2 linked regions of the Oryctolagus cuniculus genome follow. The protein of the gene in region 2 interacts with the protein of the main gene of each other region in a biochemical or structural test. Links are inferred from orthologs where the notes say so. Each region holds a gene or a part of one and is shown on either strand. Other genes may lie near its edges.

Evidence for each region.
Region 1: the proteins of RPA1 (region 2) and PRPF19 form a complex in vitro, tested with the Homo sapiens proteins (2 studies listed by BioGRID, with this or other methods). The link is inferred for Oryctolagus cuniculus from reciprocal best matches to the Homo sapiens genes RPA1 and PRPF19.

What each region holds. Positions count from the first base shown.
Region 1 is NC_091432.1:11,685,516-11,689,421, forward strand, and holds the start of PRPF19 (pre-mRNA-processing factor 19), read left to right. Parts: upstream 1-1,541; 5' UTR 1,542-1,764; coding exon 1,765-1,783; intron 1,784-3,494; coding exon 3,495-3,644; intron 3,645-3,753; coding exon 3,754-3,830; intron 3,831-3,906. UniProt on the Homo sapiens protein: Ubiquitin-protein ligase which is a core component of several complexes mainly involved pre-mRNA splicing and DNA repair. Required for pre-mRNA splicing as component of the spliceosome.
Region 2 is NC_091448.1:47,342,772-47,346,677, reverse strand, and holds the start of RPA1 (replication protein A 70 kDa DNA-binding subunit), read right to left. Parts: upstream 2,513-3,906; 5' UTR 2,361-2,512; coding exon 2,328-2,360; intron 1-2,327. UniProt on the Homo sapiens protein: As part of the heterotrimeric replication protein A complex (RPA/RP-A), binds and stabilizes single-stranded DNA intermediates that form during DNA replication or upon DNA stress.

The sequences.
Region 1 (3,906 bases), on a different chromosome or scaffold from region 2:
CATTTATCAAAACAGGGCCTGGCACACAGGTGGCCCCTAATCAATATGTGTTGAATGAATGAAAAGTCTGGGGAAAGATGTGAATAGATTTTTCTCTGAGTGGATTAGAAGGAGACCAGGCTGCAAGCAAGGAGACTCATCAGGATGCTATTTCATTTGTGTAGGGAAGAGATGCACTTTTCCTATACTAACTCATCAGAAACCCAGGGATTTGGTTCTGCCTGTCTAAGGACAAAAGTATAATATCACTTAAAGATCTTAATTGGCTTTGATTTCCATTAGAGTCAGGCAACACTCCCACCAACAGAACAAAGGAAGTGTCCAAGGGTTTGGGCAGAGGAGGTTGGCTTCATGGAGTTGAAAACAAAACAGAAAGAACAAAATGTGAATTGGTAACCCACTTTCCTTGGAGGGCGGGGACAGGGAGACTGAATAAGGTAAAAAATGATGGATTCATCAGCACCAGATGACTTCAGGTCACTGTTTGTAAGGATTAAAGCAGAGAGCTTATCAGAACCGTCATTATGCCTGCTTAGGGAACTTGCCCTGTTTAGGGACCACACTGGGTTGTTTAGGGAACATAGCTGTTATCTCGGTTTAGTAACTGCTTGAAAGATCAGATAACAATTCAGTTTGGGTTTGGCAACATGAACAGCCTCATCGTAAGGGCTTCCATCTGACCTGGTCCGTCAGGGTGCAGAGCAGAAGCCTCTGTGGTCTTCATGTTAAATATACCCTTTTCAGTAAAAATATAAAATCAGGAAGAAAAGAAACATACCCTGGTTATCACTTCCTCTATTTACAGCCGAAGAAACAGAGGCGTAGAGTCCGTACCGTGGACCACCTGTGTGGAGCTGGCATTTGGGCACAGTTTGACTGTCGAGTCCACGCTCTTGCCCCCTCCGCCATTAATTCTTCTCCCCAAGCCTGTGCTCACGCTGTTGCCCCTTCTAGAATACTCCATTCTCCTTCTTCTCTGACAATGCCCACCTGCGGAAGTCCAGCGCAGAAGTCTTCGCTGACCACACCTGTCCGTCCTACACCTTTGTCTGCTTCCCTACGTGAATCTCGAGAATATCCCATTTTACTGATCCCCACGAAGAACCAGACACTATCCGAACTGCAAGGGACCTAGAAGGACGAAGGGGCGGTGAAGCCGGCAACTTGTCTAAGACCACCGAGCAAACTGTGGTAGGAGTAGGGCCTTCAATTTCTTGGACAGTGTTCCTCTCCCTGTGCTTTCTTCACCAGGTCGGCCAGCAGTGTCTCTCAAAGGGCAGCCCAGAAAACACCTGCCTCAGAATTACGTGAGGCACTTTCAGACTTTCTAAGGCAGACCCGAGAAATCTACATGAGATTCGAAAGACTGCATTCCAATAGCTCAGTACAGAACGACTAGCCCTTTAAGTTCCCATTGCACTATGGGAAGTGTAGTTTCGGATCGCCTCTCCGCTGCTTGCCCCGCCCCTGAAGGCTTCACGGAAGAAGCCGAGTGAATCCGGAGACAGCCGATTGTCCCGGGGCGGGCTCTTTCCTGTGCCGTTGCATTCTGGGAAAGGGCAGTTTCCGTTAGGTGCTGAAGGCTGAGGCGCGCGACCGGCCACACTCCCACGTGAAACGCTACGCGGGCATCGCTCCGCGGGGTAGCTCCCTGCTTACCGCGGAGCGTCCGGAAGCAGCGGGGGAACCGGAAGTAGCCCGCAGAGGCGCCGAAGGTAGACCCGGAGCCCTGAGTAAGGCGCCTCAGAGCGCTGCGTCGGCGCCATGTCCCTGATCTGCTCTAGTGAGTACTGGCCGCTGGCGATCTCAGGTCGCAGGAGGCGGGAGAGAGGAGAGGGCTAGTGTGCAGGCCGCTGCGGCGCCGGGGTCGGGCGGAGGCGGGAACGGGCCGCCTGTCAGCACGGGGTGCTCTGCCCCTTACGGCGGCGTGTATTTGGCGCAGTGTTGGCGCAGTTTACTTATCACCTCAGGTTTATTGTCGCAGGGGTCACTTGGGCCCACTGGGCAGGCCTGGGCAGAGGAGCTGGTGCAGGGGAAGCCGCCGTGGTGTAGGAGCCAGGAAACCTGAGGATTTGTCCAGCAGCAGCCTTCGATCGGCCTTGCGATGTGGCGCGAGACGCTGGGCCTCAGTTTCCCCGTCTGCGAGACTGAGAGCATTGCGTTGGGTCTCGTCGGAGGTCTCGCACGGATAGTTGGAGCCTCTGCAGTTTGCGAAGGTCACGCAGGGAGCGAGAGGCCGACGGGGCTGGAAGCCAGGTGTCCGGCTCCCAGCCGCGCGCTGTGCATGACTGATAAAAAGAGCACACACATTGGTTTACAGCACGCTTCCAAGCCCACGATCTCGTTTTGTCCTCGCAGGAATTCCCTGCGGGAGGCGTACAAATGGGACTGTAGGGCTCGGGAGGAGTGGGGCTCCTGTGGAGGGGCACAGCCAGTGCCCGCGAGAGCTGGTTGATGGGGCCAGACTGACAGCGGACCGATTATTGTCTGGTGCAGACGACTAGGCCCAGGCAGTCATAGTGAACAGTGTCGCAGAGCTGCCTTGAAGAGATTAAGTGACCTCCTCTGCCCGGAGACCTTCGGCCTCTCCCGACGTGAGCCAGTCTCCCCTGAGTGATGAGATTCCAGAGGACGCATCCGTGATCCATGTATTTCTCTTGGAGAGCCTGTGTTGGGATAGATAAGGAATTCAGCGATACCTCCATTGCCACCACGCTTGGGTTGGGGGTGCAGAGAGAGAGGGGGCAAGAGACACTGAGCCTCAGCCTGCTTCTGGTTAGTCCAAAGTGTTGCCCATGCCGGACTGCCACACCTGGAGGTGCCCCCTCCTGAGCCCCGGCCCGAGCCTGCACTCATCCACCCGATTTGTTGGGTGCTGCAGGGCGTCTGCGTTGGACTGAAGTACCAGACGGGCTGTGCTCACTGCCCTTCAGGGGGGCACTGTCTCCCAGGGCAAGAATGTGTATGAGAACTGCTTGGAGGTTGTTGGGGGGACAGGTGCACCTGTGTGAAGTGCTTAGCATCCTGGCCGGCACGGAGTGAGCACCGTGTAAATGGTTCTGGTACCCTGGTGTCTGTCATGCTGCTGTGTAGTCCCTGTGTCTCCTGATCCAGTTAGGGTTGTGACTGAGGTGGATGGCAGCTGCCTGAATGGCTTCACACGCTCTCCAGGGTGTGGAGAGTAACTCTCTGGTGTGGGTCCCCAACTACCTGTTGAAAATGAGATGGCAGGGCTTATTGACTGCATTCTGGGTGCCCAGTGCATAGGAGCTGTGTAGTAGTTAATTTTTGACCACCCAGGCTTTCGAGAGACCAATGGAGAAGCCACATAGGTAGCTGGAGAACATTTAGGGGCTAGCCTAAAGCTGCCTTGGCATCATGTGCTTCCCCTGAGTTGAGTGGATGTGGGGACTTGTTGGGCTGGTGGCAGTTAGGAATCCCCTCGGCCCCAGATTGTCTTTCATCCCAAGCCTACTGCCTGCCTTTCTCTGCAGTCTCCAATGAAGTGCCAGAACACCCGTGCGTGTCCCCCGTCTCTAATCACGTCTACGAGCGGCGGCTCATAGAGAAGTACATTGCTGAGAATGGTACAGACCCCATTAACAACCAGCCTCTCTCCGAGGAGCAGCTCATCGACATCAAAGGTACCCGTTGGTCGGCCTCAGTGTGGGCCTCTTGGCTCAGAACCTGAGGTTGGGGTAGGGGGGTTGCCTGGGTTACAGGTTTTCACACCTGACTTTCCTCTCTTGGCAGTTGCCCACCCAATCCGGCCCAAGCCCCCCTCAGCCACCAGCATCCCAGCCATCCTGAAAGCCTTGCAGGATGAGTGGGTAAGTTCCTGGGAGAAAGCTGATGTCTCCCCCACTCAGAGAGAGTATATCCCTGGACTAGGACGTGGGGTGGGGG
Region 2 (3,906 bases):
ATTCACGCAGCTAGCAAACATTTGCCAGGCACCTACAACTCGTCAGCTCTGCTCCAGGTACTGGGGACACTGTGGGAACCAAAAACAACCCAGCATGACTGCAGGCCCCATGGAATTTACAACCTACTGGAGGAGACAGACCGTAACTGACATTAATCAATAAGCAATTAATCAATAAGCAATCAATGTAAAATTACACGTGTGACTATTAATCCCAGGTAACATATACTGAGCATTTACTATGTAACAGGCAATGAGCTAAACACTTAAATGTATTAACACACTTTCTTACTTTATGCAAAAGGTACTAGGCATCATCACCCTGATATTACAGAAGGAAAACAGTCCAGTGTTCTGCCCAAAGTCACAGATCTAACAAGGGAACACACAGGAATTACAGTCCCAAAATAAAATAATTTAGCCTAGTAAGTGAAGTCAAAGAAGACTTCCCCCAAAAGTAACTACTGAGCTTAAGATTTGAAAATTATGTTAGCCCATGAGGGAGGAGTGAAGAACCCAGGCAGAAGGAAAAGAATGTTCAAAAGCCCCACGTAAGGGTCCGGCGCTGTGATGCAGTGGGCCTGAAGCGCCAGCATCCCATATGGGCGCTGGTTCTAGTCTCGGCTGCTCCTCTTCCAATCCAGCTCTTTGCTATGGCCTGGGAAAGCAGTAGAAGATGGCCAAAGTCCTTGAGCCCCTGCACCCACGTGGGAGACCTGGAAGAAGCTCCTGGATCCTGGCTTCGGATGGGCGCAGCTCCAACCTTTGCGGCCATCTGGGGAGTGAACCATCGGACTGAAGACCTCTCTGTCTCTCTGTGTAACTCTGACTTTCAAATAAATAAATCTTTAAAAAAAAAAGAGCCCCGCGTAAGGCAAGAGTATGCAATGTATCAGGAATTTAAAGGTTTTTTTTTTTAAGGCTATAGAAGAGAGTAAAAGAATAGTGGGAAGAGGGTAGTCAAGCCAAGAAATGAAGGTGCCAGTATAGATGGGAAGAAGTGGATGGATTTAAAAGATCTACGTGGGGAGCCCGGGTTGTGGCACAGTGGGGTTAAGCCTCTAGCTGACATCCAGATGAGCATTGATTCAAGCCCTGGCTGCTCCTCTTCCAATCCAGCTCCCTGCTAATGCGCTCGAGAAAGCGGCAACGGATGGCCCAGGTGCTGGGCCCCGGCCACCCACACGGGAAATCCGCACAGAGTTCCAGGCTCCTGGCTCCAGGATGTTGGAAAGTGAAGGAGCAGATGGAAGAGCTCTCTCTCCTTTTCCTTCTCCAACTCTGCCTTTCACATACAAGAAATATTTAAAAAGAAACAAACAGGGTTGGTGCTGTAGCACAATGGGCTAAGCCTCTGCCTGCAGTGCCAGCATCCCACAGGGGTGGAGGTTCGAATCCCAGCTGCTCCACTTCCGATCCAGCTCTGTTATGGCCTGGGAAATCATAGAAAGTGGCCCAAGTGCTTGGGCCCCTGCACCCACGCGGGAGACCTGGAAGAAGGTCCTGGCTCCTGGCTTCGAATCGGCCCAGTTCCAGCCACGGCGGCCACTTGGGGAGTGAACAAGAGGATGCAGGATCTCTCTCTTTGCCTCTGTCTCTCTGTAACTCTGCCTTTCAAATAAGTCAATAAATCTTAACCAAAAATAAATAAAGGATCTATGCTAAGGTAAAATACGCTCCACTTGGTGCTGGACTGGACGTGTGAACTGTTTCTGGCTGGGTAACATCCGGAGACCCAGACTTGGGAAGATAAAGGATCTGCTCCGGGCAGATGGCATTTAAGATGCCTTTGATACACTAGGTAGACGGATGAGTACAGAAGTCTTTTCGAGTAAAGGGGGCTTGGCACGGAGAAACCTGTTAACTGACTTCTGGATGGTAATGAAGTTGCCAGGGGTGGAGGGGGAGGAGCCAGGGGATCAAAAGCAAGACTAGGCAAGCTGAGCCAGAGGCCAAAGGCAGAGGTGATCAACAGGCCCCAGCGCCGCGGGGACCAGGCTGACCCACGGCAGGTGCCGCGAGGCGAGGACACAGAGTAACTGGAAACAGACGACTCTCGAGAAGTTTGGGGGGATGGGGGAAGGGCGGCCGGCGAGGGAGATGCGAACAAAGTACACGTCTGTTTTCTTGGCAGAAAAACGTTGAGCGTGTGTAACGAACACTGGAAGGCTCCCGCGACAAGAGGGCGCCGATCAGCGCGGGGTAAACCCCCGCGGCTCCCCCGCCATCTGCTTCTCCTGCGTTGTCCCGCCCACCGCCCTGGCTCCCCTCCTCCGTCCCCGCTCCGCACGGCTGCGCGCCCACGACCGCTCCCAGCCTCTCCTCACCGCAATGGCCCCCTCACTCAGGTGGCCGACCATGGCTCCGCCGCGCCAACTGCCGCGCTCGGGGTTCGCAGCAGCCCTGCCTTCACTACCGGGGTCCCGCGGGCTGCACGGCAATTGGCCAGAGGAATTGCGCGCGCCACTCCCGCCCACGACGTGCGCGCGGCCTAGGGAGGGGCTTAGGGCCCGAGCAGACTGCGCATTGGCCGAGACGGCGCACGTGACCTGGCGGAGGCCGGGTTCGAGGCCTAGTGGCGGGCTGGCGGGGCCTGGGGGCGGAGCGCCGCGACGCGGGGCGCGCCGGGTGTCGCGCGCGTGCGGCGGAGCGTGCCGACGACCCAGCTACGCGAGCTCGGCCTGGGCACCTGCGAGAACGCCCGACCGGGAGTTTGGCGCGCGGTCAGCCTGGCAAGCCAGAGCCGAACCAGAGCTGCCCCCCCCCCCCTTATAATTACGGCTAAATAGGCTCAAGGCAGCGACTGGATTCCTTAAGCCCTGAACCGTGGCATCCAGGGGCCCTCTGAAGGTAAATAAGATTCAGTTCCCGCAAGTCACAGAAGAGGACTTGCCCAACTCAGGAGATCGGGGAGGCTTCCCAAAGAAGGTGCCGTTTGAATCGAGGAGAAGGTTTTGTAGGAAGTTGCTAGGTGGACTCCAGATAAGAGTGCCTGTGCCTGTGCCTGTGCCTGTGCCAAAACCCTGCGGAGGTGGAATCGCCTGGCATGCTGGGATAGCAGAGTAGATAGAGGAAGAAGCGGGGTTTGAGTTAGAAAGCCGTGGACTTCCCTGTGTGCTAGCATTCAGGAGCATTCGTGAATTCAAGTCAGAGGACTGTCACCTGTCCCGGTGCAGGATGGCCTGAAGGTGTGGAGCCACTCTGACGCTCTGACGCTCTGGAAAGAATGCCACGCCAGGGTTGGTGAGGTCTTGGACTGCAGGGAGCTGCGGACTGAAACAGAAAACTGGACCTAGAGAGAGACGGTTGTAGTCGCAAGGGTCAGTGAGAGGGGAGAACCTGGGTGTCTCTCAGGAGTCCCACCTGGATGGCGAAGGTCTCAGAGGGGCCTGAGGGCAGCTCTCTGCAGTCATCAGACTTGTTTTCTTTTCTTTCTTTCTTTCTTTCTTTTTTTTTTTTTTTTTTTTTTGACAGGCAGAGTAGAGAGACAGAGAGAAAGGTCTTCCTTTTGCCGTTGGTTCACCCTCCAATGGCCGCCACGGCTGGCACGCTGCGGCCGGCGCACTGCGCTGATCCGAAGGCAGGAACCAGGTACTTATCCTGGTCTCCCATGGGGTGCAGGGCCCAAGCACTTGGGCCATCCTCCACTGCCTTCCCGGGCCACAGCAGAGAGCTGGCATGGAAGAGGGGCACCTGGGACAGAATCCGGCACCCCGACCGGGACTAGAACCCGGTGTGCTGGCACCACTAGGTGGAGGATTAGCCTATTGAGCTGAGGCGCAGGCCTAAGACTCATAGCGCTGTGGGCTGGCTTGGTGTCTGGGACAGAGCCAGCTTCCCACAAGCATTTCTCAGCGAGAGGATGCTGAGTGAATTGGAGTGAGAGAATACAGGTCCTTCCCCAGC